3 linked regions of the Mus musculus genome follow. The main gene of each other region encodes a partner of the protein of the gene in region 3 in a complex. Links are inferred from orthologs where the notes say so. Each region holds a gene or a part of one and is shown on either strand. Other genes may lie near its edges.

What was found.
Region 1: the proteins of Rab9 (region 3) and Sgsm1 are in contact, whole or in part, in a crystal structure (PDB 4QXA), measured with the Mus musculus proteins. Residues at the interface, in NP_062747.1 of Mus musculus: Phe37, Thr39, Ile40, Gly41, Val42, Glu43, Phe44, Leu45, Trp61, Arg68, Phe69, Leu72, Phe76; in NP_766306.2 of Mus musculus: Leu256, Leu257, Tyr258, Gly259, Lys260, Asn261, Asn262, Tyr277, Asn294, Met297, Asn298, Gln361.
Region 2: the proteins of Rab9 (region 3) and Nde1 are in contact, whole or in part, in a crystal structure (PDB 7E1T), measured with the Homo sapiens proteins. The link is inferred for Mus musculus from reciprocal best matches to the Homo sapiens genes RAB9A and NDE1. Residues at the interface, in NP_001182257.1 of Homo sapiens: Ile40, Val42, Phe44, Asn46, Gln59, Trp61, Arg68, Phe69, Ser71, Leu72, Pro75, Phe76; in NP_001137451.1 of Homo sapiens: Asp99, Gln102, Thr103, Ala105, Ile106, Gln109, Leu110, Tyr113.

The regions. Positions count from the first base shown.
Region 1 is NC_000071.6:113,258,406-113,268,296, forward strand, and holds part of Sgsm1 (small G protein signaling modulator 1), read right to left. Parts: intron 8,065-9,891; coding exon 7,882-8,064; intron 7,543-7,881; coding exon 7,474-7,542; coding exon of another isoform or gene 7,462-7,473; exon of another isoform or gene 7,269-7,461; intron 5,432-7,268; coding exon 4,844-5,431; intron 1,769-4,843; coding exon 1,644-1,768; intron 469-1,643; coding exon 386-468; intron 1-385. UniProt on the Homo sapiens protein: Interacts with numerous Rab family members, functioning as Rab effector for some, and as GTPase activator for others. Promotes GTP hydrolysis by RAB34 and RAB36.
Region 2 is NC_000082.6:14,159,159-14,169,838, reverse strand, and holds the start of Nde1 (nuclear distribution protein nudE homolog 1), read right to left. Parts: upstream 6,565-10,680; 5' UTR 6,471-6,564; intron 389-6,470; exon of another isoform or gene 388-388; 5' UTR 347-387; coding exon 264-346; intron 1-263. UniProt on the Homo sapiens protein: Required for centrosome duplication and formation and function of the mitotic spindle. Essential for the development of the cerebral cortex.
Region 3 is NC_000086.7:166,473,070-166,483,563, forward strand, and holds the start of Rab9 (ras-related protein Rab-9A), read right to left. Parts: upstream 6,799-10,494; 5' UTR 6,471-6,798; intron 1-6,470. UniProt on the Homo sapiens protein: The small GTPases Rab are key regulators of intracellular membrane trafficking, from the formation of transport vesicles to their fusion with membranes.

The sequences.
Region 1 (9,891 bases), on a different chromosome or scaffold from region 3:
CAAACAAACAAACAAAAAACAACCAATTATCTTGTTTCTCTTCTCATTCCTTTCCTTCCTTCTTCCTTCCACCCCTTCCATCCTCCCAGACTCCCTCCCTTCCTTCATTCAAGAAAGAGCCTGTGAAGGATTTATATCCGTTTGGTAGACCTCATCCTGAGACACTGTCTGGACCAGTTTTACTTTGTTCTCATTCCCGGTCAAGCACTGGCTCAGCCAGGTAAGCCTCGGCGCCAGGCAAGGTGGGACACAAGGATGTCTCATGTTGCTGGAGTTGAAATGTATCCACCAGGTGGGTCTGCTATGCCTCTATCCTGACCCAGTCCATGGTGACACAAGGTGAGGCTGACCCTTCCCCTCCTACAGTCAGGGAGGTCACACTCACCATCATCCAGGATGACCAGCAACGGGGCCAGGAGGTCACACATGCCCTGGACGTAGCCGATCTCGATGTGCTGCCAGATATAGCTGCAGGAGAAATGGGGCGCGATGAGTGTGCCATGCTCTGCATCCCCACACAGCCTGCCCTCTCCTTGATGCTTTCTCCCATCTGGTCCTCCATCCTTCAGTCTGATATCCACCCTCAGTGTCACCACACATCCAAGGCGTAGCCATCAAGGCCAACCCAATGGGGCATTGCTGAGCACAGGACTCTGCAGGTGTCCCACCACTCTGGGGTGCTATCATGGGATCAGGGTGTCTTCAACTCCTCCACTCAGCCCCACACATCTCTTCCAAGCTCCTCTTCTTTCTCTGGCTACATGGAGGAGGCAATCACTTTGCATAAATAAGTGACTCAAAAAAATCTCAAAAGCCGGAGAGATGGCTCAGCGGTTAAGAGCACTGACTGCTCTTCCAGAGGTCCTGAGTTAAAATCCCAGCAACCACATGGTGGCTCACAACCATCTGTAATGGGATCTGATGCCCTCTTCTGATGTGTCTGAAGACAGCTACACTGTGTGTACTTACGTTTAATAAATAAATGAATCTTAAACAAACAAACAAACAAAAAACAAACTCTAGGGATTATTTTCTCTACTGATTCTGTCCGAAATCTGAATCAATTCCGTGAAAAATATGGGGACTGCCTGGACAATACACTCAACCCTGTATGCACCTCGAATCTTTGAATCTTTCAGAATGATCATGACATTTCTCAGGGGGGGAGGAGACGGAGGCAGAGAGAGGCAAAGGGCACGAGCAAAGTCAGTGTGATAGTTCTGATCGTCATGTTGGGAAGAGAGTTGTCTACATCGAGTTGGCTGGTGGGGTTGTCTAGGGGAGGGTGTGGAACTGTCTTGATTTTATATTAAGTGATATAGGAAGATCCAGTCTACTGTGGGTGGCTCCATTCCTTAGGCAGGGACTACTGGATCATGTAAGAATAGAGCTAAGCACAAGGAAGCGTGCCATGAAAACCATGGCCCTGTGGGCTGGCCAATGAGAGCTGAGAGCAGCCTGGATGAAACACAGTAAGTGATAACTCGGGGATATCCCCCACAGCACCCCTCCCCCTACACTCCTCCTCCCCCACAGCACCCCTCCCTTCCCTACACAACCTTTCCCCTCTCCCACACCACCCCTCCCCCTCCCCCACACTACTCCTCCCCCCACAGCACCCCTCCCCCCCCAGCCACAGTCACCTGCACATGATGTTCCTCAGCTTCTCCAGGTTGGCTGCTGTGAAGTACCAGTAGCTGCGGTCACACCTCTGCACATCTTTCTCAATGCGGTGCAGGTTCACGGTGTACAGGTCCAGTAGTTCTGGCTGTGGGTGGGAGGAGAAGGAAGATGAGGACGCTGACCCCCAAGAACCATTTCTAACCCTCACCTCCCAACCGCTCACTCTGGGGTTCAATTCGTTCTTTCTTTGTTTCCTGGATAAGTTAGGCTGACTTTGCATGATGAAAGAGTATTCTTTTGAGACTGGTCTCGGGATGTAGCCCAGGCTGGCCTTGAACTCATAATCCTCCTGCCTCAATGCCCAGAATGCTGGGATTACAGGTGGACATATGTGTTCTTATGTGTACGAGTGCACGCACACACGCACACACACACAGATCTGTATCAGAGACAGAATATTACACAAATACACTTAATGCATTTAAAGAGGATGCTAATCTGTCAATTTAGTGCTCAGGAGACTATGGCAGGAGGATTGCTGTCAGTTTGAAGGCAGGTTACAGAGTGAACTTAAGGCTAGCCTGAGCTGCATAATGAGCACGAAATAAACCAAAGACATGAAGACTAGAGACAGGAGCCTGGGCATGGAATCTGGACCCCTTCGCCTCTAAGACTTTACTGACTGAGCTCTGTCCCCAGCCCCTAGAATAGAATCTTAAAACTTGCTGAAAGGGAGAAAAGTCACCTTTAAGTGGATAGCTGTTAGACAAGCTCCCCAATACCAAGGGCAGACTTGGAAAGAGAGTAGAGTCTTTGAAAGGCGGGGTACTCCTCACCTTGTGATAGGGTTACTATGAAGAAACTCAGAAGTTGCAGTAAAGTAAGTTTTAAAAAACGTGCGGAGTGCACCTAAACTGTGAGCATCCCAGCTGAGGGCAGGGTGTCTCGCAGAGGGTCAGAAGCTCCCTTGGGATAGCGTGGCCCGTGGGAGCTTTAGCAAGGGTCGGGTGTGTGTGAGTTGCCCCTCTCTGCATGGAGAAATCATACCACATATGGTGCAGGGGAAGATCTGGATGTCAAATTTATTTATTCTTTTTTTCTCTCCTGTTTATGAGTTCACTGTAGCTGTCTTCAGACACACACCAGAAGAGGGCATTGGATCCCATTACAGATGGTTGTGAGCCACCATGTGGTTGCTGGGACTTGAACTCAGGACCTCTGGAAGAGCAGTCAGTGCTCTTACCCACTGAGCCATCTCACCAGCCCAGTGGATGTCAAATTTAAAGTTTGCTTCCTGGGCTGGAGAGATGGCTCAGCAGTTAAGAGCACCATCTGCTCTTCCAGAGGTCCTGAGTTCAATTCCCAGCAACCACATGGTAGATTTCAACCATCTGCAATATAATCTGGCGCCCTCTTTTGGTGTGTCTGAAGATAACTACAGTATACTCATATACATAAAATAAATAAATCTTTAAAAAAAAAAAAAAGGTTGCTTCCCACCGAATACATTCTTTACTATTGTGGAGTTGAAAACATGACTTGAACCATCATATACCAGGGAACAATTGTACTGAGCAAACATGGCGGTCATGCGGCCCTGTACCCAGCAAAGGGATGTGCCAGGAACAAGGGAGGGAATGTCACTCAGGATGAATGTGGATGAGGAATCTTCCTAAAAGATTCTTCAGCTGCTGGGGGATGGCTCGGTCAGTGAAGTGTTTGTCCGGCAAGCGTCCAAGTTCAGCACCCCCAGAACTCATGTAGAAAGTCAGGCCTGGAGGTACATGCTTGCCCTAGAGCTGAGGAAGAGGAGGGGACAGGAAGATCACTGGGGATTGCTGCAGGGCTGGACAGCCTGCTGGAATTGGTGAACTGCAGGCCACTGGGAGGTGCTGTCTCAACAGCAAAAGAAGGATGGTTTCTGAGCAGCTGCACCCAAGCATGTCTCGTGGTGCTCGCACGTACCCCCCACGTACCCCTCCATAAGCTCGAAAAGGTCCACACACCCAATAGATACCAAAGACACAGAAAAAGAAGAATCACAGAGTAGGCAGGGTTCCAGTCCTGTGGCCTGTGTGATGTCACATGGGATGGGAAATGCAGCCTGTGGAAATCACTCAAGTGTGTATTCTGACAGTGCAAGGAAAGATTCATACTAGACAGACGGGGGCGGGGGGGGAGGGAGGGGGGCCCACTGGGTCCCTCCAGGTCCCACCCACCTCCCAGCCTCTGCATCAGAGATCTGCAGCCATTCAGAGTAACAGGAAGGGCTCGTGTCTCAGTATTTCTCTTCACACTCCTTCTGCCCTGTGACCTCTGTCACTGCCCACTCTACCACAAGTTGGCTGAGGTAATGTCAGGGAGCCAGACAGAGCAGAGGTCTCAAATACACACGGGCACATCAGCTCTCTCTGCTTACCATCTGCCTTTGCAGTGAGCACACATCCAGGTTAGCCTGCCAGAGAATGAAACACAGACCAACCCCCCAGTACCTCTCCCGGACAGCAGTTATCAAACTGAGCCACACCCAGCTTGGGGCAGAGCTTCCTGGCTGACCCACACACTGGGAGGTATATGTATAAGGCATCGTGTTGAGGGGTGAAGCCGCTGACTTCCGGGAACTGCTTGCCACACAGCATGGATGTAATAGTTGATGACTGATAGATACATCATGGTCAAAGTGAGTCTGGGGCTGGCAAGAAGGCTCAGCAAGTAAAAGCACCAACTGCTCTTCCAGAGGTCCTGAGTTCAATTCCCAGCAATCACGTGGTAATGAGATCTGACGCCCTCTTCTGGTGCATCTGAAGACAGCTACAGTGTTCTTATGTATAATAATAAATGAATCTTTGGGCCAGAGCAAGCAGAGTTGACCGGAGCAAGCAGAGGTCCTAAAAATTCAATTCCCAACAACGACATGAAGGCTCACAACCATCTGTGCAGGTACAATGTACTCACATGCATAAAAATAAATAAATAAATAAATAAATCCTTAAAAGAAAAGAAAGAAAGAAAAGAAAGAAAGTGAGTCTGTCTGAGCTTTCCATTAGACTATTCTGCTAAAGTCTGTGAAGGCAGAGGGCAACATGGTGGCTCACAACCATCCGTAATGAGATCTGACGCCTTCTGCTGGTGTGTCTGAAGACAGCTACAGTGTACTCATTCATATACATAAAATAAATAAATAAATAAATATATTTTTTTAAGACTCCTAGTGACTTACAGAATAGGTGACTCCACTGGAGGACACAGGGGATGCCTCGTTATTGGCAGAGGAGGTCACAGCCAGAGAAGCCAGGGCAGGGAACAGGCTCTCCATCTCAGGCTCTTCTGAGAGGTTGTCCTCACTGTCAGCCCGACTGGGCTTGTCCGCCTCACCGGGCCAGCCGTCCATCACCGCGCCATCCTTCTCAGGTAGGGCCACGTCCAGGCTGCCAGGGATAGACATGAACTCCTCCAAGCTCTCGTTGGCAAGGAGGTCACTCTCAAGGCTATCTTGCACGGCCAGCTCCTCCCGAGGGGCCTCGTCCCGGGATGTGGTGGCTTCGCTGCTCTGCCCATCTTCCACGCTGCTGTCCCCAGGCCGAAACACAGCTGGAAGGCTGCGTTGGGCATCCAAGACGCTGTCTTCAGTGCTAAGACTGGGCTCAGAGTGCTCGGAGAGACCAGAGGAGAAGTTGTGGGAGGAAGGGTGTCCGGAGTCTGGGGAGCAAGTGCCGTTGGCTGGGTTCCCATTGGGGATTTTGGGATGTTTTTCTTCTGACCTGCCTTCTGCCTCTGTCTGCTCCACCTCATCCACAGACTCAAATACCTGAGGAAAGGTACACACAAACATTCGAGTCAGGACTCGCATGGCAACATAGCTCATGGCAGCAAAGTAATATCCAACAACAGGAGTGACTTCGGTATGGAATCTGCCTGTAGCGGAATAGCATGCAGTCAGTACAAAGGCAGTGTGTTCTTTATGGCTGTCAATCTTCCAAGTGCTGAGGTCGCATCAGCGATTCAGCTGGCCACAGCTGGCTCTGAGGAGGGCAACTAGGGAAATGAAGTTTGGGGGAGGGGAGTGGCTTTCTACTGTACGGACCTCTAACACTTAGATTTGCTTGTGTTTCTGTGTCCTTCAGCCACAACCCTCAAGGTCACAGTAAAGATCAGGTCAAGGCCTCACACTGCTTCTCTAAGTAGCTGCCATCAGTTTTACTTCACTGAATCTATTTCTGCTCTTTCATGAGCAGGGCTGGGACCTCATCATGTGCATAGGCTTGGTGTATACACACACACACACACACACACATTATACTACCCAGAAGGTATTTTATGAACATTTGTATGCTTTTTATTTATTTGTGTGTGTGTGTCTGCATGAATGCAGGTGCCCTTGTAGTCCAGAAGAGGGTGCACATCTTCAGGGGTTACACTTGGTTGTAAGGCACCTCATGTGGATACTGGGAACTTTATTTATGCATTTATGTTTGTGTGTGTGTGTATATGTGTGTGTGTGTCATGAATGCAGGTGCCCTTGCAGTCCAGAAGAGGGCGCCAGATCTCTTGGGGTCAGACCTAGTTGTGAGGCACCTCATGTGGGTGCTGGAAACTAAATCTGGGTCCTCTGCAAGAGCAGCTTGTGCCCTTCACTACCGAGCCATCACTCCAGCTTGCTTTGTGCTTTTCCTTTTGTTTAATGAGGCTTTCAGTAGAGTGATGCCCAAAAGTTGTTGAACAATAAGTCTGCCAGTGTTTATGTGGGATTTTAAGATCTACCAAATATAGTGGTTTGAATTGGTTGCCCGCCGCCCCCCCGCCCCCATAGATTCATGTGTTTGAATGCTTGGTCCACAAGGAGTGACACTATTGTGAGGCGTGTCCTTGTTAGAATAGGTATGGGCTTGTTTGGGGAAGTGTGTCACTGTGGGGTGAGCTTTGAGGCTCCCATGCTCTCGCTCTACCCAGTGCAGAAGAGACCCTCCCTCCTCCTGGCTGCCTGCGGAAGAGAGTCTTTCCTGGCTGCCTTCAGACCAAGATGCAGAACTCTTGGCTCCTCCAGCACCATGTCTGCCTGCACGCTGCCATGCTTCCTGCCATGATGATAATGGACTGAACAGCTGAAACTAAGCCAGCCTCAATTAAATGTCTGCCTTTGTTAAGAGTCGCCTTGGTCATGGTGTCTCTTCACGGAAGTGAAACCCTAAGACATTATATATTTCTGTGTGTGTGTAAAGGCATCCAGAAGGTTCTGGAAGGCCACACAGCGTACTGATGATCTTAGTACTGTTTCAAGGGAGGACGGAGATGAAGGAGACAGAAGCAAAGTACAGGCGTGCGGTTTGCTGTTTTATAGGAGAGCAGGCTCCTGGTCAGCCTGTGAGTTCAGAGGTGCTGAGTCCAAGATTCAACCAATGCTGAGTGAAAATACCCACAAACCACTGCACCTGCGCAGACCAGGCTCTTCATTCCTAGTGGCACAGCCTGATAGCTATTTCCATGTCGTTTGCACTGACTGCACTGCTTGTGAGTGGCCTAGAGGTGACCTGGCGAATGCAGTGTTCTGTACACACCCTTGTCATTTTACCCGGGACTTGGATCCCGGGATGCTGATGTCTACAGGGGCTTCATTCCACTGTTATGGGTTCCAAGGAGACAGCAACTGCTTGCAATACTTAGTTTACTTCCGATACTAGCCATAGAAAGCTGAATGCATCAAGCAAAGCGGCTGATAAATGATGGACATCCAAACCCTACCACCGCAGATGGGAGGGTGGGGCTTGCATGGATTGGGCGGGGCTTTCTGGGTGGGTGTGGCTTTGCGGATGGGGTGGGGCAAGAGTGGGGAGCTGAGCCTCAGAAAGTCACCTGTGTGCTGCTGCTGGAGTCGCTCTGCAGTCGGAGGTTCTGGCGGCCTGAGCTGCAGCTCTGGGATGACTGAGATAGACAGGAACCAGACAGGCAAAGACAGAAGGTCACAAAAAGGGTTTCTGGGCTGGGAATCCAGGAAACCTGGTTCCATTCCTTCTCTTGACAGATGCAGCAGTGAAACCTGATACATGCTGTCTTCTCAGGGCTATCCCCAGACCTCCACCACGCCCGCAGTACAGATGCAAGAGCAGAGCCCAGAGGAAAGGCACTGGCAAGATTCTCTGGGTGCAACTTGAATCTATATCTGATTCTAAAGCTCTTCCTCCCCTCAAAAGCTGAAGGTGCGGCTGTCCCAAGACCCTGGCCCCTCCCATCAGCATTTCCCTCAGGCCAGCTGTCCTTTACCTCATTGCTGATGGTGGAGTCCCGGTGCAGCATCCGGTGAAGGTGGCTGTCCAGGCTGGCTCCTGAAGAGCACTTGGCCAGGGCAGCCGCGTGGGACTCCCGCTCCCTCTGTCTCACGATAGCTTCACAGCCCAGCCACTCCGACATGGTTTGTGCGTAGCAGGCATGGATCTGTTCGTCTACCTGTGGGCACGTGTGAAGGGCACAGGCGGTGCTGAACACCCTAGGCTCTGGCCTGTCTGCATTTAATGTCAATGGCACTTGACGTTGCTGGATGATGTCCATGCCCAGAATACTACAGAGCAAGGCTAGTTTGCCTCCACCTTCCTTCCCCCTCAGCTCCCTCCTCAGTAATTCATTCACTCCCACAATCAAAGTTTGTTTGCATACTTTCTCTATTTCCTCATTCTTTATCTATTAATTATGCAATCCGTTTCCACATTCGCTTATTATTTATTTACTCCATTTTCTCATTCGTTTCTTTTGATAAGTAACTATATCTTCCCAGGAACCAAGTCAGGCATATACTTTACCAGATAAGCAAAATCCTGCTACCTATCCCCCCACCCACTCACCCACCAGTTCACCCACCAACCCACCCACCCATCCATCAGGTGAGGGCAATATCAGATTACCAGAATGTTTTCTTCAAGACTGAACCTGCCTCCACCAGTATGACCCGGTAATCTCACTACCAGGCATTTCCTCAACACAGAAAGCCTGCATTGGATGTCAGCTGTAGTTAGCTGTTCTCAGCCCAAAAGGGTAAATAAATAAAGGTTCATAGCATCGCCCAGCTACCTATCAGCAAAACCTTGGTGTATGCCCAGGGTAAGTGTTAACTCACTAAAAGGAAACAGGCAGCAGTAGAACAATTTGGATGGATCTAGAGATTGTACTGAATTTAAAAGTCAATACCCAAAGTTTCCACACTACAGAACTCTGTTTATACAACATTCTAGATGTGAGAAGATTCTGGAAATGGAAGACGGGAGGAGGAACCCGGGGGATGATGGCAGGATGGAGGTGGGCGTGGCTACAGAGGGACCAGTGAGGATTCTTTTTGTTTGTTTCTTTTATGGTTTGTCGAGATACACTTTCTTTCTGTAACAGCCTGGCTGTCCTGGACTCACTTTGTGGACTAGGCTGGCCATGAACTCACAAAGCTCCACCTGCCTCTGCTTCCAGAGTGCTGGGATAAAAGGTGTGTGCCATCACACCTTGTAGTCTCCCTCCCCCAGCCTGAAACCTGCTTGCTCAGGGGTGGAGCTTGCAGCCTCAATCGTTCTGCCATGCCCACTGCTGGAACCTGCCGCTTTGCTGTTCACCCTGCTATTGGACCCCAAGATTAATTGGCAGGAATCGGGCCCCTTCCCCTGCTTTATATCTGCGTGCAGAACAGTAAAATTGAGCTTTGATCAGAATGCCTGTCTTAGCTACATTTCTTTCTCTCGCCACCTAGCCCCTCTTCTCTTCCAGGTTTCCAAAATGCCTTTCCAGGCTAGAACCCAGGTTGTGATCTACTGGCCAGACACAACAACACCTGACCAAGGTGAGGATTCTTAAGGCACCAGCAATGCACAAGTCTTGATACATAAGAAAATAAGTACATACACACCGTTGTATACACACAGACACACATACCAGTGTGTATACATGTACACAAACACCAGCATGCATATGTGGAGACACACACACATACACACACACACAGGAGGATGGAGGAGCCTGAGTGGGGTGGGATGCTGTACCAGCATCAGTGAACTATGACAGCATAGGACATCACAGTTCTGTTGGAGGTCACCATAGGGAAACTGAGTAAAGGTCACACAGGTCTCTGCAATGCTTCCTACAAGGCACGGGAGTCTACATGACCTCAAAACAGGAGGTCGGCTTGTTTGAAAATTCTCTCATGTTGTATTTCCACCAAATAGCTTTTTTCCTCCATGTTCCTGTTTCTTCACTGTGTCACTCACCAACAAGACTGTAACAGGCAACCAGGGCTCTACT
Region 2 (10,680 bases), on a different chromosome or scaffold from region 3:
CAGCAACAGTCTATTTAGATAGGCACAGGTAAATCTTCCCCACAGAAGATCAGACACAGATAAAGGTTAGGTGACTCAGTTTGTAGTTCAAATCCCAACCCTACCTCTCACAGCTGCTGCCTTAAGCAGGCTGTCTGACTTCCCAATTGCTCAGGGGCCTCTTTAGAGAAAAGAGACCCTGTTTCCTCATCTCACGGTAAGGCTGCATTCGTGGTGCCCACCACACTCCCCTGGAAAACAGGGAGGGAAGCTGCAGGACTGACCTCTGTTTGTAGGTCATGGCCAGGTCTCTCCAATAGTTTGTTTCTTCCTCCTCTGATTCAAAGGTCTTTCCCGAGTCCTCCATGGTAAAATGGGCAAAAGCTCACTCTTCCTGTGGCATGATGTCTAGGAGAAAAGTTTGAAAATTATTAGTGACTTTTCTGGGTAACAACCCTAAAAGCCCAAACTTCATGCTAGATCAAATAAAAAAAGATGCTTACTCGAAAACCAAAACTAAATCCAAATAAAAAGTAGCCTACCTTCAGTTGCAGCCCAGGGCTTATGTATATCTCCCCACAAACACTTAGTACCTAGCCCTTAGATCCAAATAAGATGTCTTTTAGATCCCTGGCTCCTCTGGGGGACTTGTGTCGGAAGGGAAGGGAAGTTCTACATAAATTACTGTACAGCCCCAGGTGAGCACAGGGACAGCCCTCCGCATGCGATGCTGACCCACAACAAATGGCTGCCGTGTAGACAACTGTCGGTAGGTTTCGACATGCATGCGCCTGTGAGAAGCAGCACTGTGATACAGATTCCCCAAAACTCAGCCAGGAAGTCAAGGTGGGCTGCCTGGCAAGGTGGTGCAGAGGTAGTAGCATTGGAAGAGTTGGGCATGGTGCCTCTGGCATCCCAACACTCAGGAAGCTGAGGCCAAAAGGTCACAAGTTCAAGGCCAGTCTGAGACCCTGTCTCAAAGAAGAGTAGAATAGGAAAACAGACACCAAACTCACAGACAGCAGAGCAGTAGCTAGGCTTATGTGGGAGCCGAGGAAGACTGAAAGTGGACGAGGGAAAGAGCAGAGACTGAACTCCAGGGCTAAATCACAGGCAGCCTTTCAAACACATTAACAAACTTACTGCCAAACTGTACAGTGGTGGACACTCGGGAAGCTGAGGCAGGAGGATGTAAGATCCTTAGCTAACCTGGGCCACAGAGAAAGACACCGGAAAGACAGAGGATACAAGGAGAAAAGAAGGAAGGCTTGGTTGCCACAAGGAGCCACTGAGGCACTCGGTGACAGACGGACTCTTCAGCTCAGAGGCTCATCCTGGTGGCGTGGCTGGCTGGGGAGGGTCAAGGAGTAAAATGGATCTTCTGCGCAGCAATTCAGGAACAGAAAGGAAGGTAGATAAAATTAGAGCCCAGAACAAAGGAGGAAAACAGAGCCCAGGATACGTTCAAAACAACAGGAGCCTGGTGCAGAGGTGCCATTTGGGAAATGGAGAAAGGAGGTTTGCAGCCCAAGCCTAGGAATCGGAAAGCAACCTGGGCAATACAGTGAGACCTGGCATAAAGTGGGGGAGGGGATAGGCCGGGGAGATGGCTCAGTGGGTAGCGTGCCTGCCTGTCACACAGCTTGAGGGCCTGTGTTTCAATCCCAAACACTCATGTAAAAAGTTAGGCTATGACCCCAGTGCTGGAGGGTTGTGTGGAACAAACAGCAGGTTCCCCAGAGCTCATTGGCCAGCTGGTCTGGCCAAATCAGTGGGCTTCAGGTTCGTTGACACCAGTACGTCACAAGGCAAAAACAAAAACAAGACAAGATAGTGGAATGAGAATTTGAGGTGTGGGGATTGAAGAGAGCATGGAGGGCTGAGTATGGCCAAAGTGTATAAAAACTATCAAAAAAAAAAAAGTGGAGAGTGACCAAGACATCAGATGTCAACCTTCATGGGTGTCCACACGTGTATACACACAAAAATCACTCTTCAAGACAAAACCAACACTACTTTTTGGCTGTAAAAACATCACTACAAGAGACAGAGACAGGTTCCTCAGAAGCTCATGAGCCAGCTAGCTTGGTATACACGCTACACACAACAGACCTTGTCTTACAAGCGCTGACCTCCATATGAACACACACCTGCACACACATGAACGTGAACCCATACAGAGAAGAGGAAGGGCGAGGCAGAGAAGGAAACAGGAGGGGAAGGGGAGAGAGGTCTTTGAGACAGGATCTTACTATGTAGCCCCAGCTGGCCTGGAACTCATTATGTATCTCATGCTGACTTTGAACATATGATCCTTTTGCTTCTACCTCCTAAGTGCTAGGACTGTAGTCATGTGCCACAGTGCTCAGCAGGAAAAACAAAAAATAAAAAACTTCTCGAATCATTGTTAACTTGCCTCCTAGGGAAGTTTAAAACTTGATCTTCAGGAAAGAAACTGATGGAAGTTATGTGTGTGGGTTACAGGGGAGGTGTTTGTCTTAGTTAGGGTTTTACTGCTGTGAACAGACACCATGACCAAGGCAACTCTTAGAAGAACAACACTTAATTGGGGCTGGCTTACAGGTACAGAGGTTCAGTCCAGTATCATCAAGAAGGAGCATGGCAGCATCCAGGCAGGCATAGTGGAGGAGGAGCTAAGAGCTCTACATTTTCTTTCTTTCTTTCTCTCTTTCTTTCTTTCTTTCTTTCTTTCTTTCTTTCTTTCTTTCTTTCTAAAAGATTTATTTATTTATTTTATGTATATGAGTGCACTGTAGCTGTACAGATGGTTGTGAGCCTTCATGTGGTTGCTGGGAATTGAACTCAGGACCTCTGCTCACTCAGGCCCTGCTCGTCACTCCAGCCCAAAGATTTATTTATTATTATATGTAAGTACACTGTAGCTGTCTTTAGACACTCCAGAAGAGGGCATCAGATCTTGTTACGGATGGTTGTGAGCCACCATGTGGTTGCTGGGATTTGAACTCAGGACCTTCGGAAGAGCAGTCAGTGATCTTACCCACTGAGCCATCTCATCAGCCCAGAGTTCTACATTTTCATCTGAAGGCTGCTAGCAGAATACTGACTTCCAGGCAGCTAGGATGAGGGTCTTAAAGCCCACACCCACAATGACACACCTACTCCAAAAGGGCCACACCTATCCCAACAGGGCCACACCCACTCCAACAGGCCCACACCCTCTCCAACAGGCCCACACCCTTTTACCCTCTCGATAGGGCACATACAAACTATCATCACAGTGTTGCTCTCACAGATGGGAGGACGAGGCCTTCATTACAGAGAAGAAAGAGTCTACGAATCTGAATCTCAAGTACTGCAGAGAAACTGGGCAGGGACCTGAACTCAGCTTGATAACTCACACACCAACTGGCAGCACAGGAATGGCATGTCCATCAAAACCATACACATTCTAAAAACATTTCAAAAGGAGGGGGAAAGCGACAAGAGATAAGTGACAGCTACATCTCTTGCTTAAGAAACTGCAATCTTCAAAATATAAGATTTTCCTTTTTATTTGGAATTGTCCCTCAAACCCCTGCAGCACTGCTCTCTACCACAGAAAGCATGCAAAGTGTCTCATGAAGAGTCGTTTCTTTCAGAGTTATTTATTGAAGTTTACTGTGGAATAACTTTTCAAGAGACTTTAACCTCTTTAGGCTGTTCTGCTCTAGGAGATGGGCAGAGCAGTCACTGGTACAGGGTTTGCCTAACATTTGTGAAGTCTAGGGTTCCATCACTTGCATGCCTGGAATCTCAGCATCAAGGAGACGGAAGCAGGAGGGTCAGAAGTTCAAGGCCATCCTTGAGAAGGCCTGGGCCACACGAACCCTGAGATGATAGTGAGAAAAAAATGAGGAGGAAGGGAATAGAGAAGGGGGAAAAAAGAGAAAGAGGAAGGGAAAGGGGGGAGGAAGAGGAGCAGGAACAGCCAGAGGCAGCAGCTACTGCAGCCTTGATCATCTCTAACAACCATGAAGCAGTGGTGGAAGCAACTAGACCCGAATGCACTATGTCTTTTTTGAAGTCAATTCAAGAACTGCAAAGTTGCACATAGATTGGCAGGAAGTCAGTTTGGACCACAGTCTTTTAAAAACACCATTATAATAGGTGTTAATACCAGGTTGCAGTTCACATAGCTTTGTGCCTGCTATCTTAAAAACAGAGTGGTGGTCCACGCCTACAATCCCAGCTACTATGACATGTGAAGCAGAGGATTTCTAAATGTGAGTCCAATCTGGACAACTTAGAAAGACCAAGACTCTTATCTCAAAAATAAAATTGAAACAAAGCACTAGGTAACCAGCTCAGGCAGGGGAGACCTCGGCTAAGGCACATGGGTTTAATTCCAAGTCCTATCAAAAACCAAGAGAATATGGTGTGCATTTATATTACTCATGTGTTGGTAACTTGCTTTTCAATGCCTTGGTGCTTGCTATCTTACGCCTCTGTGGACCAATTCAGGGACCACACAAATATGTTTGGTAGGGCAGGGGAGATGGCTCAACTAGTAAAAGGCTCTCATACAAACACGAGAGCCTGAGTTCAAATACAAAACACCCATGTAAAAAGCTGCACACTGGTGTTCTACAATCCCAGTGCTAGGTGTGGGGAGACAGAGATAGGCAAGATCCCTAAAGTTCAGCGGCCAGCCAACCTAGCCCAACTAAGGAGTTTCAAAAACTTAAAATAAATCAATACAAGAGTTAAGATGGAAAACAACAGAAGAAAGAGTCCTCTTATAGACTTCTGGTACTCCACACAGTACCTCTATGCTAACAAGTACACACACCACACAAAATTCAAAAAGCAAATTTTAAAAAGTACCTGTTTCCCGTAAGGTGGTTTTACACGTCTAAGAATTCATTTCAGCACGGGGTTTCTGTGTATGTGCAAAGTATTCCTGTGCATGAGGAGCCAGAAGTGGGGTTTGTGTGTGTGTGTGTGTGTGTGTGTGTGCAGGTGTTTGTGTGCATGCAGGGTCAGAAGTGACATCAGGTGTCTTCCTCTATCACTCTCCACCTTTTTAATTTTATTTATTTATTTATTTATTTATTTATTTTTGAGGTAAGGTCTCTCATTGAACCCAGGGCTCACATTCTCCTGCACTGGGCAGCAAGCCTCAGGGCCCCCCTGTCCCCCAAGCTGGGTACTGCAAATCACAGGTGTGCACCATCACACCAGCTTTTTGGTGCTGGGGACATCACTTAGGTCCTCACACTTTGAAATAAGAACTTTCAGTCCTTAGGATTGGTTTTGTTGGGAGGAGTCCCCCAAAATTAAGTCTACAAAACTGTCTGAGAACACACACAAGTCACACACCTCTAATTTCAAATTTCTAGGAAAGAAATAAAGTGATGTCTGAGTGAAGAAAGCTAGCCAAGCTGATCACCAATACTCGATGCCAATATCGAATGAACCAATACCCTTCTCCAGCCCAAGTTTATATCTCTCTCAAATAAACAAGACGTGAATGGGAGCCAGGTGATGGTGGACACCTCTAATCCCAGCACTTGGGAGGCAAAGGCAAGAGAATCAACTTGAGTTCGAGGCCAGCCTGGTCTATAGAGCAAGTTCCAGGTCAAACACATCAAGAGTCAGTCACTAAGCCTAGCTTGTCTTCTTGCTGCTTAAGTACAAAGACATGCGACTTCAGAGGGGTTGGAGGGTTGGTCATAGTTCTGTAAGTTCCTCTTACTGAACTCCATATGGAATTCTGAAAGGGGAATTACTTAAACCTCAAAACGGGCTGAATACCAGTGTGCTGGGGAAGAGAAGTGCGTGGTCAGATACCCTCAGGCTCTGGAGTAGTTTCTATCAGACTATACTTCAAAAGCACCCCTTCTGAGTCCTAAAATGTTATCCTAACACACAATACACAGAAACAGGTGGCAGAGCCAATTACAAACCTCCACCCAGCTAGAGAAGTTGAGCGAGGATCCGGCTAAAGCGCAGAAGGATGCACAACCTGGCAAAAAGTCGAGATGATTTAGGAAATATGAAGTCGCTCCGGAGTCAAGGTGACTCCGGGTTGCCCAGGACCTCAAAGAGGTAGAGGTGAGCTGGGCCAACATCCAAGGTGTGGGGTAAGCACTCTCACCCTTTGTCGGATAAAGTTTATCCGATCCAAAGTGCTGTCTAGGGAAATTTGAAACGTCCAGCGGCCGAGACCTATAGGCATCGAGGGGAAGGTTGGATATAGGTTGGTATCCGTGCGGCAGCAGTTGGGGACCCGGAAACTGTGGGGTGAAGGGGCAGACTAAGAACTCGGGGGCCTTGGGGCGGCGTGGGCATGGGTCTTGAGGACGTTCGAGGATAGAAAAGCAGCCAGCAGAAGAGGAACGGAGTTGGCCAGGGCGAGCGGCGGAGCTCACGGATGGAAGGTGGAAAGCTGAGGAGGGCAGGTGTGGGGGACACGTCGGATGGATGCTGCGGGCGTGGCGGAGACCCGCCCGCAGCCTGGCTCCACTTACCCAGCCCGGGCGGCGACGATTCCAGCGAGGCGCGGGCCGGCAGGCCTTTCTTGCCCTCCAGCCTCGCCGGTACTGCGCGGTGCGCGCCTCCCATTGGCTGCCGCTCTCGGGACGCGTCTGACTCGGCCAATCAGCGCAAAGAAGCGAGGTTTGGAAACTTTTTCTCTCTAGGCCCGGGCGCGGCTGGGCCAAGCCTCGGTGGGGGCGGGAGGGGCCGCAGGAGGCGCAGGCCACTGGCCCGGAAGGCGGGCGTGGAGAGGGCCTGCTGGCGGCTCGGTACTCGCCGTGCCACGCACTCTGGAACATCCGCACGCCTCTCCTTCACACTGGTTGCATTTATCTGCTCTTGCTCTTGCCCAAGAATAGACAAAGGAGCAATTGGTCGGAGAAACCCGGGCATTAGGAATAGCTGATATTGGGTTACACTTGTAAGTGCCCTACCCGATTCCAAAAATGCTATACTAGCCCAGAATGCACAAAGACAAAAACAGGCATAGAGAACGACAAACTTCCGCCCAGCCCACAGGACCCTTGTTATTCCACAACTTTACACCCCAAATAGAATCTTTAACTGTTGTGGCTTCTTCTGAGACAGAATAGTTTAATGTGAAAGAACTTGACTTTGAATCCTAACTCCGCCGCTTACTAGCTATGTGTATTTGAAACAAGGTATTTAATTACTCGTGGATAAAATGGTCGTCGTCGTCGTCCCCCCCCCCCCCCCCCGAGCTAAATAAATAAGTTTACAAGACTTTGTGCAGTGCTTTGTAAATAAGCCGGGCAGTGGTGGAGCACACCTTTAATCCTAGCACTCGGGAGGCAGAGGCAGACGGATTTCTGAGTTTGAGACCAGCCTGGTCTACAGCGTGAGTTCCAGGACAGTCAGAGCTACACAGAGAAACCCTGTCTTGAAAAACAAACAAACAGGGCTGGCGAGATGGCTCAGGGGTTAAGAGCACCCGACTGGTCCCGAGTTCAAGTCCCAGTAGCCACATGGTGGCTCACAACCATCCATAACGAAATCTGATGCCTTCTTCTGGGATATCTGAGGACAGCTACAGTGTACTTACATATAATAAATAAATAAATCTTTAAAAAAAAAAAAAAGTCATCATATGGTTGCTAGGAATTGACCTCTAGGAGATCAGTGTTCTTAACTGTTGAGCAATCTCTCCAGCCCCTTGTTTTTTCCTTTTTTGAAACACTTTTCCTATGTAACTTGGGCTGGCCTCAAATTTCTGAGTATTCCCTTAGCCTTATTTTTCAGTGGGATCACAGGCCCAGCTAATAATAATTTCTTAACGTTAAGCCATTAATTGTTCATTAATTATTAAATACTATTAGGCACAGGTAATTTTACAACCTGGTGACTAAGACAAAGAATCTGATCTTAAAGGGTTAATACAGTAAACGGAAACAGAATTTCAGATGCCAAATGTTGCTGAAGACTATTTAGAGACTGGGAAGCCAGAGAAAGGCATAGTTAGCTTACATTTCTGGCAGTGTTGGCCTTGAACCTAGGCCCTTGGCCATGTTAAGCAAATACTGTATCATTCAGCTGTATCTCCAGCCTCCTAGAATTGTTTAAAAGATGAGAAAAAGGGTACAGGAAATCCAAGTGTTTCGATTTTGTACCTAACAAAAGGAGCTTCAGAAGGCTCTTTTTGACTCTTACAATCATGTTCTGTTCCCCTGGGCTACACAAGTAATGCCTCCTGCCCCCTGCCCCCTGCCCCTCTCCTCAGTTTTGTTGGTTGAACTCAATACCTTACCCACTCTAGGTAAATGCTCTACCACTGACCTATACCTTCAGCCCCCTTTTTTCTTTTCTTTTCTTTTTCTTTCTTTCTTTCTTTCTTTTTTTTTTTTTTTTTAGTCAAATTCCTTCTAAGATGCCCAGGCTGGACCTAAGCTCACCCTGTAGCCTGGATAAGCTGAATTTGTAATTTTGTCTCTACCTTTGAAGGAGCTGGGATCAAAGTCCTGGGCTACTGTAGTTGGCTTTGCTCTTTTTTTTTAAAAAAAAATTCTGTTCATTTTGTTTGTAGCTTTTGTGCTGTGACCAAGCTGAGAGTTTGACTTCTCTTCCTTTGATCCTGTCCTCATGGGTGGTAGAGGAGAACTCTGTTTAGTAACTTAGGTCTTTGGGGAGTTGAATCAAATGCAAAGTATCCAGTGAAACACCAATAATAAATCTCTGTTATCTTTGTTTCATAAATGTGAAGATTATTACTGAGCAAAGGAAAAAAAAAGGAAGTTGGTTTTTTTTTTTTTTTTAATGAGACAGGGTCTCTTTGTGCAGTTCTAGTTGCCCTGGAACTGTGCCACTACTTCTGGCAAAAAGTTGAAACCTACTTTTATTAAATAGTAGGTAGTGCTTTTAATTTTGTTGTTGTTGTTGTTTTGTTTTTCGAGACAGGGTTTCTCTGTATAGCCCTGGCTGTCCTGGAACTCACTTTGTAGACCAGGCTGGCCTCGAACTCAGAAATCTGCCTGTCTCTGCCTCCCAAGTGCTGGGATTAAAGGCGTGCGCCGCCACTGCCCGGCTTCTGGCAGACTTTTAAGTATAACTATTTTAAAGTAATAACCAGCTAGGACATTCTATACTGTGCCTACATTTAGATTATATTTTTTTCCTAACTTGTAACAGAAAGCAGCAAAGAGCTAGAAATTTCAGAAATTATCTTTCCCCCTATGGAATCCTGAAAACTCATATTTAAGCCAGGCATGGTTCTAAATAAAGGTTATGCTTTTACTTCTTGAACTTGTAGGCAACCGCAGGCAGATCTCTGAGTTTGAGGCTAGTGTACAGAGAGTTCCAGGGCAACCAGGGCTATCACACAGAGAAACCCTGTCTGGAAAAACAAACAAAAAAACCCAACTCATATTTAGGTCAAGTAAAAGTGAAGCCTTCAAGGCTCAGTGGGGTTGGGGATAGGGGTAGCGAGGATACAGAACAGTTTATCTGTTTAAAACATGAAGTATTTTTGATTTCACAAAGTTCTTATAACTTTAGCATCTTCTTTTTCGTGGCCAACCTGTCATCTGAAAAGTATTGGTTACAAAGCACTAGGTTTATTAAAACAAAACGTTTGCCAGGTGACACAAACTCCTTTAATCCTAGCACTCAGAAAGCAAGGGACTGCAAGTTCGAGTACAGCATAGTCTGCGGGGCAAGTTCCAGGCCAACCCAAGGCTACACAAGTGAGACACTGTCTCTGAAAAGAAAAAATAAAACTGGGTAAGGATATCATGTACTCTTAACTGTTGGTGTCAATATTCAGCAGCAGTCTTTGCATGTACTTGATCAGCACTGAAACTGCTATAGGTAGGGAGGACTTTGCCAAAAGCCCATTTGGCAGGTTTAACTGTTCTTTCTCCACTGGCCACTAGGTTGCGCTAAAAGATGCAGTGCAACGTGCACGATTTAATTTGTAAAAATAAGGGTTATCACGTGACGAGGCAGAGCATTAATACTTTATTTCACATTAATCTTCTCTCCTTAGTCCTCGCTCCCAAGACCTTTTAGAGCGGAACCCTAACAAATCCCATCTGGCAAGCCTTTCCTTGACTCCATCACAAAAGCTCCCTAGTTCTTCGCCTGGAAGATCCGTTCGACATGGCGTCATCAAACCAGTAGTGAGAACTCCTAAACTGGGGTTCCTGCTAAAAAAAATACGCCGCCAGCCCCCTAGGTAAGACCCTATTTTGAGGTTTATCGGGAGGGGACTGAGCCTGACGAGGCTGCAGGGCCGCGAGGCCCCGCCCCCCCCACTTCCCAGCGTGCCCTGCGCGGAGAAATACGCGGAGGCGAGGGCGGGGCGAAAGAAAAGACTGGGCGAGACTCAGGGAGGGGTGGAGCCAGAAAGGGGAAGGGAGGGACGGGGGAATGGGCGGGGCTACTGGAGGAAGCGACTGGGCGGAGTGGGGACGGGCTGGGAATGGGCGGAGAAAGGGAGCGGCCATAGGGGGCGGAGCAGAGGAAGGGTGTGGTATTATGGAGGAAGAGGTGAGGCAGGGAGGCTCGGAGAGAGGGGCGGGGCTAGTAGTAGAGAAGCGTATCGGTTTTGCGACAGGGGCGGGGCGGGGCGGAAGCGGAAGTGGAGGGAGCGCTTGGCGGCGGCGGCGGGAGCTGCGGAGTCGGGAATCAAAATAAAGGGCCTGGGGGGGGTGGGGGGTAGGCGGCGGTGTCGGAATGTGAGCCAAGAAG
Region 3 (10,494 bases):
AGAGCTCTATCTTAGCAGCTGCTGCTTACTATAACATCTATTAAGTATCTGTCTTAGTTTCTTTTTGTGTTGTTGTGATAAGCACTCTGACAAATGAACTTAAGGAAAAGACTTTACAAATTACAAATTGACAAGGGGAGACAGTTCACCACCACAGTAGGGGAGTCAAGGCAACAAAAACCTGAAAAGGCTGGTCATATTGTATCATAATCAGGAGCAAAAGATTCCCTTTCTCCATTTATTCAGTTCAGGATCCCAACCAGAAAATAAATAAATAAATAAATAAATAAGTAAATGGAGCTATTCAAGTGGGGCAGGGGACCCCTCCCACCTTAGTTATGCAGAAATGTCCAGAAGCCCATTTTTTAAATGATTCTACATTCTGTCAACTTGACAACATTAACCATTACAATATCTAAGACACAGCCCCTTAAAACCACTGGCAGATCAGACACTATCCCCCATGCTTCAGAGCTCAACAGATGAAAGCTAACAAAGATTAAATACCATCCCCAGGCCTAACTAAACATGGAAAGTCAAAAGTCTCACTCCCACCAAGTAACAAAATAAATAAAGAAATAAATAAATAAAGGTACAAAATCAGAAAAGACACAAACACACACACAAAAAAACCTATTTTAAATGCAAATCAGCACCAAAACTTGCCAGTCATAGTGGTACACACCTCTGTTCCCAGCAATCTCTGTGATGTGAGTTCAAGGCCATCCTGGTCTACAATGCAACAGTCAGAGCTCTGTTACACAGAAAAGCCCTGTCTCAAAAGTAACAACAAAAAAACTTAGAAACTATAAAGATAACGCTAGTTGTGTAACTGTGAAACTCAAGAAGAAACTAACAAGGAAACTTGGCCACAGAACTGAACAAGCCCTGCCTAGCTCTCCAGCACTTTTTCCAACCACCAAGACAGATAAAGGCTACCAGTTGGAGCACTCTGGGAAAGAAAAGGCACCCTCCTAGCGCTGCACACCTACTTCCTGAACAAGTGCATATAGTAAGTAGTGGGGAGAAAAGGTAGCAAAGTAGGGATGGAGAGCCTGTGCAGCCTCTGCTCCCAGCTCAGCAACCAAGTCTCAGCAATCCCCAACTGCAAGCCCAGGGGAAAGTTTACAGACTGACTTACAGGGAGTGGTGGGGAACTAAAACCAACAGTAAGGCCTTGTTTCCTTACCACTGAACTCTTAACTCTATAAACACTAATGGAAGGAAAACACCTTCGAATCCTATGGTTCAGAAACTGTGGCTAGGGCAGGCTGCTTACAATGTTTAAAGGGAGCAGAGATGCTGGCATCTGTATGGTACCATGCTCAAGGGAGTTCACAATTTCAACACTGCATTGCACACATTCCTTCTGGTGACTTAACTTTGTAAAGATGACTTTGCCCAAGATCACAGAGGAAAAATTAAATGCAGATTTTAAGGATGGCAGCTGTCTGCTGCTCCAAAACAACTATTTTTCAAATTGTATTTAAGCCTGGCCTTTTTGGACCTGTTAGAATCATCCAACACTCCTATCTGTTAAGCGTTCTCCTCAGTGAGATGTTGAAATAAATGTGAGGCATTTTCACATTTCGCTAACTCTGCTAACACAGCTGCTTCTGAGAGACAGCCTCCTAAAGGCTATCCTAACCTCTGTACCCGACACCTAATCCAAACCACCAGAACCTGAGCCCTTCCTTATATACGATTCTGCTACTCTTTCTTTACTCTTTAGATTTAAAACAAAAAAATCGGTCATGGAATGAATGTGTGGAGTCCTTCCTTCCACACTGTCCTCATCCCCCGTCAACACAATGGCAACCACGATGCCTTCGCCTCAGACAAAAGGGAACTCCTGTCCATGGAGTATGAAGCCAGGCCTGCCTGCTTCACTTGTACACATTTTCTGAAACACACTCCCTCCACCTCATATAGCCCTGACTTGACAACCAGACTACATCTCCATGTCTTGTCTGTGTTTCCAATGCAACTGACATTCTACAGCTTGAAATCATCACGGTCAAAAATGAACAAAAGGTAATGGAAAAATCCAGAATGTGGAAATAACCAGAACACAACCCAGTATGTACAGTACCAAGAGTCACATTAGGAAACAGATTTTTCCTCCAAGTTATCTAACCAGCCAAGCCACCCTGAAGCAAAGCAGGTTGGGAGTGCCACAGGCCTGACACCCAACTACACCTACAGACATACCTAGTTGGCTCCAGGTGTCCGGCCTCAGTACCTGACCTTTCATTTGCTTCCAAATTTCCCACCAAACTCCCTGAGGCATTTTCTGACTTCAGCTCCTCCTTTCCCATCAACCCTTTAATACATGGCCTCAGTGGATGGCCTGGTAGTCACAAACCCTATTTTCTTATACTATCTAGCTTTTATTATCTACTCAGCTTTCAACTTAACCTCACTGGGCACCACTTCTAATTGGCTTATTTCCTCCTGCTGCTTAACCAACAAACTGCCCAGGGCAGAATTACGTGGCAGTTAATGATTTGCTGTCTCACCTGATACATATACTCTTGCAGACATTAAGTAGTGTATCTTTCTACAAAGAAAGAAATGTGGTGACCTAACTACACTAGAGCAGCAAGACAAGTAATGACTGAGCAAGACTCCCTGGCACCAAGTCCTCATGACCTTTGGAGGTGGTGGAGAGAGATGTCACAAATAACAAAAAAAACAAAAAACAAAAAACAAAACAACCCGTACCTTTGTTAGACTTCATGTGCTAGCAATCTGGTATGATATGAAATTCAGCATCCAGTGTCCCCACCACCACACACACTATAGAACAGAGCATCTGGTTAGAGGTAGAGAAATCTATATTCATTAGCAAAGAACAACACTGTGCAATGGCAGGGTCAAAATCCAAAGACACAGAGCCAGGGAGATGGCTCCATGGATAAGAAAGTTTGCTTTACAGGCAAAAAGACCCTGAGTTTGAATCCCCAGAACTGACAAGAAAAAGCTAGCTATAGTCCCAGAAACACCGGTCACTCCAGCAATTTAGCAGAGAATGGAGATGGGAGGATTGCTACAGCTTATTGACCACCAGCCTAGCTCCAGGCTCAGTGAGAAACTGTCTCAAGGCAATACAGGTGGAATATAGAACTGGACACTCCCCATCCTTCTTTGGCCTCTAAATACACATGTGCATATATACCTTACACAATATAATCACACCCGCAAACCAACCAACCTACTGACTATGGGAATTTTCCCAGGAAATCCTGAGGAGTTTCAACACTTTTTGATAACACACACCCATCCCCCATGCCAAACACTCACCTACCAGTAATAACTGACACCTGGTCTCAGACAAGCATGGTAAAAAGAGGCCGAAAAACACCAACACGAAAATTACATAGGCTGGAGAAATGGCTCAAGAGTCAAGAGCACTGGCAGAAGGACTCAGTTGGATTATGAATTGTAGGCAGCCTCCTGGTCCACAGGCAGCTGAAACCATAGTGAGACCCTATTATATTAATATACTATATTTAAAAACTCGACCAGGGAGGGGTGACATATGCCTTTAATCCCAGCACTCAGGAGGCAGAGGCAAGAAGATCTCAGGGAGTTTGAGGTCAGCCTGGTCTAGGGTGACTTCCAGAACTGCCAGGGCCACAACAGAGAAAACCTGTTTCGGAAAAAACAAAATAAAGAAATAGATGTAGATAAATAAAAAGGCACACATGCCCAATTCAACTGTACTACAAAGCTTTAACGAACCCAACAACTGTTCTTCACCCCACCTAAGTGTGTCCAGAAAAAAAAAATGTCACGACACATGTACTTGTGTGCTATGTGAGGATGTGTTCTTTCATTAAATGACACCTGACCTCTGCTGCCAAGTAGTCCAAACAATAAATTGTGATGTAGGACCATGTAAGAACCTGGTCTTAAGATTTCGACTAGACTGCCAGCTTCAAAGAAGTAGCAGCAGCTTCCGGGCAGCACCTCTGGACCAGTGCCCCACGAAAGCAACCTGTGGATGAGAAGAACGAAAAGACAAACTTCCTAAGTCAACTGCAGAGCTGCCTAGTAGCTCAAAACTTTTTGTCATTTTTGTCTTTAAAAAAAAAATTTTCTGAAACTCTGTGTGGTAACACATCCCTGTAACCCCAAAATCAGGAATTCAATGCCAGCCTTTTCATAGCAGCAATGCTGAGGCAAGCTTTAAAAAAAAAAAATAGATTCTGTTACCAGGTAGTCATAAACCTTAGAGAATTTTCCCCCAGCAAGCTTTTAAAATAATAAAAATGCTGTCTTAAACAGTAAAATGACATTGTACTTAAAGAACTACAGAAGCCCAGTGGGACCTGGAATATGAACCAAAAATGCTTTTTCTCCAAATTTTTTCAAATATCCCCTGAGAGGATAAAATTGCCTCCCAGTGCAAAACTACTACTCCAAAAAGCCCACAAACATGTTTGAATTTCAACACTGCTCCCTCACTCCCTAGGTGACCTTGGAAACGAAATCTAACCCTCCCGGGTACCAGCAAATTTCTCATCTGTAACAGAACCACTGCTTTGGAAACACCAGGAAAAACGAAAGGGTGCACAGAGTACTGACTCAAACAGAATCCGCTCATGTGAGCCGGAGTAGGGCTTCCCAATTGGGAAAAAATCCTGAGGGAGGCTAGAAAAAAGAAATTGCTATTACTAAGAGAACTTCGGGCCTTCAGAGTACTATAGGATAAAATGGAAGTAGTTGGACAGGGGAAATGTAAAAGGATCAGGCTAGAAAAGAGAGACCACCACAAATGTATTTTCCTACTCTCCAACAATAGATGCTCTGATTTTTGCTTGTCTACTTTAACCTTCCAGAAAATAAAACACAAATATCCTTAAATTCCCCCAATGTTCTAAATAAGTAAGCCTCCATGCCATAAATGTTTCAGTACAGCAAAACACTACAAAGCACACGAAGAACCCCAAAAGCAAGAAGACACTGCCATGCACGACATGAAAACACGACACTCGAATGTATTAAGTTACTTGGAGTGCTACACAAGTAGTGATAACTTTGACCTAAGATTATAAAAGACAAAGTAGGGCTGGTGAGATGGCTCAGCGGGTAAAAGCACTGACTGCTCTTCCAAAAGTCCTGAGTTCAAATCCCAGCAACCACATGGTGGCTCACAACCACCCATAATGAGATCTGATGCCCTCTTCTGGTGTGTCTGAAGTCAGCTACAGTGAATTTATGTACAATGATAAATAAATCTTTTTTAAAAAAACCTATTAAGGTTTTAAAAAAATAAAAATAAATAAAAATAAAAGACAAAGTAAAAGCAGGGTACTTAAGTCCCTTAGCTGAGACAGGAGTTGGGAATTTTGCACAGGGGTACAGCTCTTTCTTAGCCAAGCACAAGACCCTAGGTTTGGGCTCCAGCAATGGAAGAAAAAGAACGAAAAGAAAAAGGTAAATAGTCCTTAGTTGAAAGCCCTGGGTTTCCTTCAATTCTAGTTGAGATTTCAGGCAGTGTAGGGATTTTCCATTGCAGTGGTGCTAGCAAGGAAAAAGACAAAACTTGTACCAGCAAAACAAAACAAAAACCAAATTCAGTCTGTTGATTTTATGAGGACGCTGTGAAAAGACTGGTCACGTGCCAATTTGGAAACTTGCAGAAGTTATTCCTCAAAAGAAGTATGATCACGGGATGTGTCATCATTTACAAAACAAAACAGAACCATAATACGTTCACCAACCATTTGGTCAGTACTTAAAAGTCTCCTCTGGTCTTTTCACTAAGATGGAAGGAAGAAAGGAACGCGATTTTGAAACCTCGGCCAAGATCTGATATCTGACGATGTTCCCAACCGCCTACAAGGTCTTTGCCCTGGCTTTATCTTCCAAGCTCTCTCACCTGAGTGGGTCAAAGGGTAGTATGTCAGAGGTCGCCAAACTCAAATAACACAAGCTTGCTTTCCCCAGCATTAGTCAGTCACTGTGGCGCAAGGTTTGGTCTCGAGTATGTGGGTGTCCCCGTGTGGTTAGGGGAAAGACTAATGTGTAAGTGTGTACCCAGGTAATGTCATTGGTCCCGTGAGCATCGTTCCACCATCCTATTCCCAAGTATTTGGGGTATATCTCTTTCCTGAGATGATGTTTTTGGAAGGGATATCTCTTCCTCTCTAGTAAGGCCGATCGGTCGGTCTGCGTGTATGTGTTTGTGTGTGCGCGCGCGCGTGTATGTCCCGAGTGGTTGGGTGTGTGATCTTCTTCCCGTGCTTGAATGTGAAAACCCGTCTTTCTTCCTACTGACGTAGGAATTTTCAGGAGACTTGGGGACAAGCTAACTACCCCTGTTGCCCAGCAATCTACTGACCCGCGCCAATTTGGCTCGCCCGCCGCCCCGGCGGCCCTCCGCTCCAGCAGCTCAGCTCAGGCTACGCGCGCTCTTAACCAGCTCTGGCCGGACCTCAAATGGAAGGATGACCCCCGCTCACCTTGCAGACACACACTGGACGTCCTGGGGGCGGCTCGCCAACACGCCTGGGTGCAACCAGGGCAGGAAGAAGGCCAGAGACTCCGGAACGTCGAGAGCGCTTCCAAGAGGGAGCGACTGGGGCAGAAGAACCAATATGGCGGGCGGCCGGGGCGGGGCCAAGACGGAGGGGCGAGGCCTTGACAGTGGGGCGACGGGGCGGGGCCTGAGGCAGTGAGGCAGGGTCTGGAGTGGTAAAACCAGACCCGGGTCAGGGGCGGGACCTAAGTCTTTAGGGCGGGGCCAGGAGCTGCGGGGAGGGGCCTGTGGCGGTAGCACCAGGCCAGGAGCTGTAGGTCGGGGTCTTTCCTGTGGGCGTGGCCTGCGGCTGCGAGCCCAACCGCTAAGGCTAAGATCCTAGTCTGGATCACAGGAATTAGGCCCAAGGAAGACTGAGCCAGGAAGTCTGGAATCTGCTCTTCCCACAGACTGCTTTGCAAGATCGCAGTTTTTCTTTGTACTAGCTGCTGCTCTGGTCTTCCCACCTGCGTTTCTTCTAACAGTGGTCACAAAATAATAATTTATTCTTAAAGTTTAAAGTAGAGAACATATGAGTACTATGACGTAGCAGTATTGCACCATTTAAAAAAAAAAAAGCAGGCGGTGGTGGCTCACGCCTTTAATCCCAGCACTTGGGAGGCAGAGGCAGGCAAATTTCTGAGTTTGAAGCCAGTCTGGTCTACAGAGTGAGTTCCAGGATAGCCAGGGCTACACAGAGAAACCCTGTGTCGAAAAACAAACAAAACAATAATAATAATGGCAAAATATAGGGTCAGAGGTGTTTGTATTCCTTTGATTTATATGAGGAATTGAGTACATAGGTGGTAAAAATAAAAGTCCCTGGAAGAAAGATTCTTAGCTCCCCATAAACATATAGATTATGTTTAGTTTCTAAGAGAAGACATTCACTTTCGTGATCCACAACAATTTACATAATGTCTGCCTCTTTGTGGAGCCATTTTCAAGTAATAACCTTTCATCAGGCGCCAGAAAGATTACAGTTAGCAAAGTTTCTCACAAGTATGATTTTAGAATAATTATGAAAATAAGGCTCATAATAAATACTGAGTTCCAGTTTGAATTTCAATGATTTTTTTTCTTATAAAAAGGAATCTATTTTTATGTGTGCAGAATATTTCCCCCACGGACATCTGAGTAAAGGTTTATCGATATACAAATCTGTTGCATATGGAAAAGTGAGCTGGGATACAAGTCAAGGTCGAGTGCTTGTCCACCATACATGAAATCATGGTTCCAACCCCGACATCACAGAAGCCTAGCATTCTAGAAGCAGAGACAGGAGCTCAAGATCCTCATGGCACATAGGGAGTTGGTACATAGGCTATATGAGACCTTCTCTAAGGGAAAAATGACTATGCTTTTCACATACAAGGAAAAACAGAATGAAATAGTACACAATTTATCCATTAACTGACATTTAAATCATCGAAATGTTGATATTTTCTCTAACCCATTATCAATGTGAAATCTCAGTAATGTATATATTTTATAAGTAATCTATTAGTAATTATATTATTAAATAATCATATGTTGAAAAGTTACATATAAAAAATGATTTCTCAAACCAGGTGTGGTGGTGTCTTTTTACCGGGCACTCAGAAGGCAGAGGCAGGCAGATATCTGTGAGTTCAAGGTCAGCCTGATCTACAAAGTGAGTTTCAGGACAGCCAGGACTGTTACACACACACACACACACACACACACACACACACAGTCTCAGAAAAACCAAACCAAGCCAAAACAATCCTCATCTAAATCAGATCTTTTTTCTTTTATTGAAAACATTTTTTCTCAAATAGGGTATCCCTCCATCTACACCAAGTTCCTCCCCACATCCCTCCATCCATATACATCCCCTTTCTGTCTCTCAGTAGGAAACAAATAGGCTTCTAGTGGATAATAAACTAAAATATAAAACAAAAAAAGTAAATATGTTGGAATAGGGTAAAACAACCAGAGTTCCCTAGAGCTCCCAGGGACTAAACCACCAACCAAAGATCTAGTTTCAATCCACAACACTACAAAAAAATTTGTGTTTGGTTTTCCAAGTCAGGATTTCTCTGTGTAGCCTTGGCTGTCCTGGAACTCATTCTGTAGACCAGGCTGGCACTGAACTCAAAGAGCCACCTGCCTCTCTCTGCCTCCCAAGTGCTGGGATTAAAGGCACACACTACAACTGCCCAGCTAACTACAAAACTTCTCAAAGGAAAATTAAAAAAACAAAAATGAACGATCACACCATTTTACATTTTCCCCAACATAAATTTTATTATAGACACTTCAAGCTTGGCAAATGATCAAATTAATAAAATGCACCTAGATCAGAGAGCTATTTTCTTGAGCAGAAAGCAAGGAACATTGATGGGGTAGGGAGGTCCAGTCGAGGGAGAGTTAAAAGGAGTTGATCTGCTGGTGGTTCTATCTCATTTTCTTTAGGTGATTCTTATTCCATTCAAATGCCCTGAAATTGATGATGAAGTTTGTTGTTTGGTTTACGTTGTTTTCATTTTGGGGAATCCTTGTTGAATTAATAATCGTCAATTGTTTGCTTTTAGTGTGCTGTGAAATTTCAATCTCTATAAACAACCATTCTTCAATGACAGGCTGGGAGTGCCAATTCTTTACACATCACCAAAGCCAAGATGGTTGCTCTCATGAGAAGCTGCTCTGGAAGCCGGCCTGTACATCCTGTGCCCTACAGCATCCACCTCTTCAAAGATGTAGCCAGGGGGTTCAGAGAATGAAGCTGGGCACCTTTGAATTTCCTTAGGAGTAAAATTAGAAGAGTAGGTGGTCTGACCTTCTAACGGGATGTTTACACGAGGGCCGGACCAGGTTGGCTTGCAGCTTTTGGTATTGACTGGTGCATGAGGCACGTAGTGGGCACGATTGGTGGTCATGTAATCCATAGGCTCATCAGGGAATTTCAGCTGGGGAGCAGGTTTGATTGGCTCTCTAGGGATGATGTCCCAGTGTTTATAATCCTCTCTGTTGGTGGTAGAGCTTTCAAATCGCTCACTCTTCTTCAAGTGGATGACTGGCCGGCAGGACTGAGCAGGAGCGCCATTGGGGCATTTATAGTTGGCTTGCACAGTTGTCAGAAGATCCATCTTTCCTTCAGGAGGGATGTAGGGAATGGGCTCTTTGGGGACAATCTTAGGTGTTGGCCAAGCTTGAAAATTTTCTCGAAATTCAGTGTCGGTTGCAAAAGGTATACCTAGCCCAGAGTGATTTGGTACAGGTTTCCAGCTCTTGGCAGGTTCCCCCATCAAACCCTTGTAGGAATCTCTGTGGGTGGTAAGGCCATCAAAAGGAATTTCACATGGTTTATATTTCTCTCCCTCATACACACACCGCTTCTCCACAGGATGGGCCACATAGCTCGATCTGTAGCTTGTCATATTCTCCAGGGGGAGGTTGGAGAGCTTGGGCCCAGGTGGAGGTTTGTAATTCACAGTATCCACAGGACTTTTCATGGGATAATCGTCCTGGTGTGTGGTTCTATGATCAAACCTACAGGACGGAGGACGGTATGATTGTGGTGGATGAATCAAAGATCTTTTTTGTTGGTTCCAAGGTAAATAATCAGCTTTGTACGTAGGCTCATACTCCATTTTGTCATTACATTGATGCCTGTTGTCTCGAGGTTTGATGGGGCTCGCTCGAGTGGCAGGGCAATAGTTGTAGTGTTGATTATACGTTGTGAGGAAATCCATTTCATCTTGGATTGGAGTGACCTTCTCGGGAAGATGGTGTTTCACCGGTACTATGTTGTAAGCCCCAAAGTCTCTCTTTGTTGTGGACAGTCCTTCCATTGGTATAGCTACTTTCTGGTACTCCACCTTGGGTTTGAAGGACTCTTGGGGCATATAAGAATGATAGGTAGAATACTTCTCCGAGTATTCGGAGAAAAAACATGGTTTCTCTGTCTTCTCATAAATCTTGGTAGGGAGATGTGGGCAGTG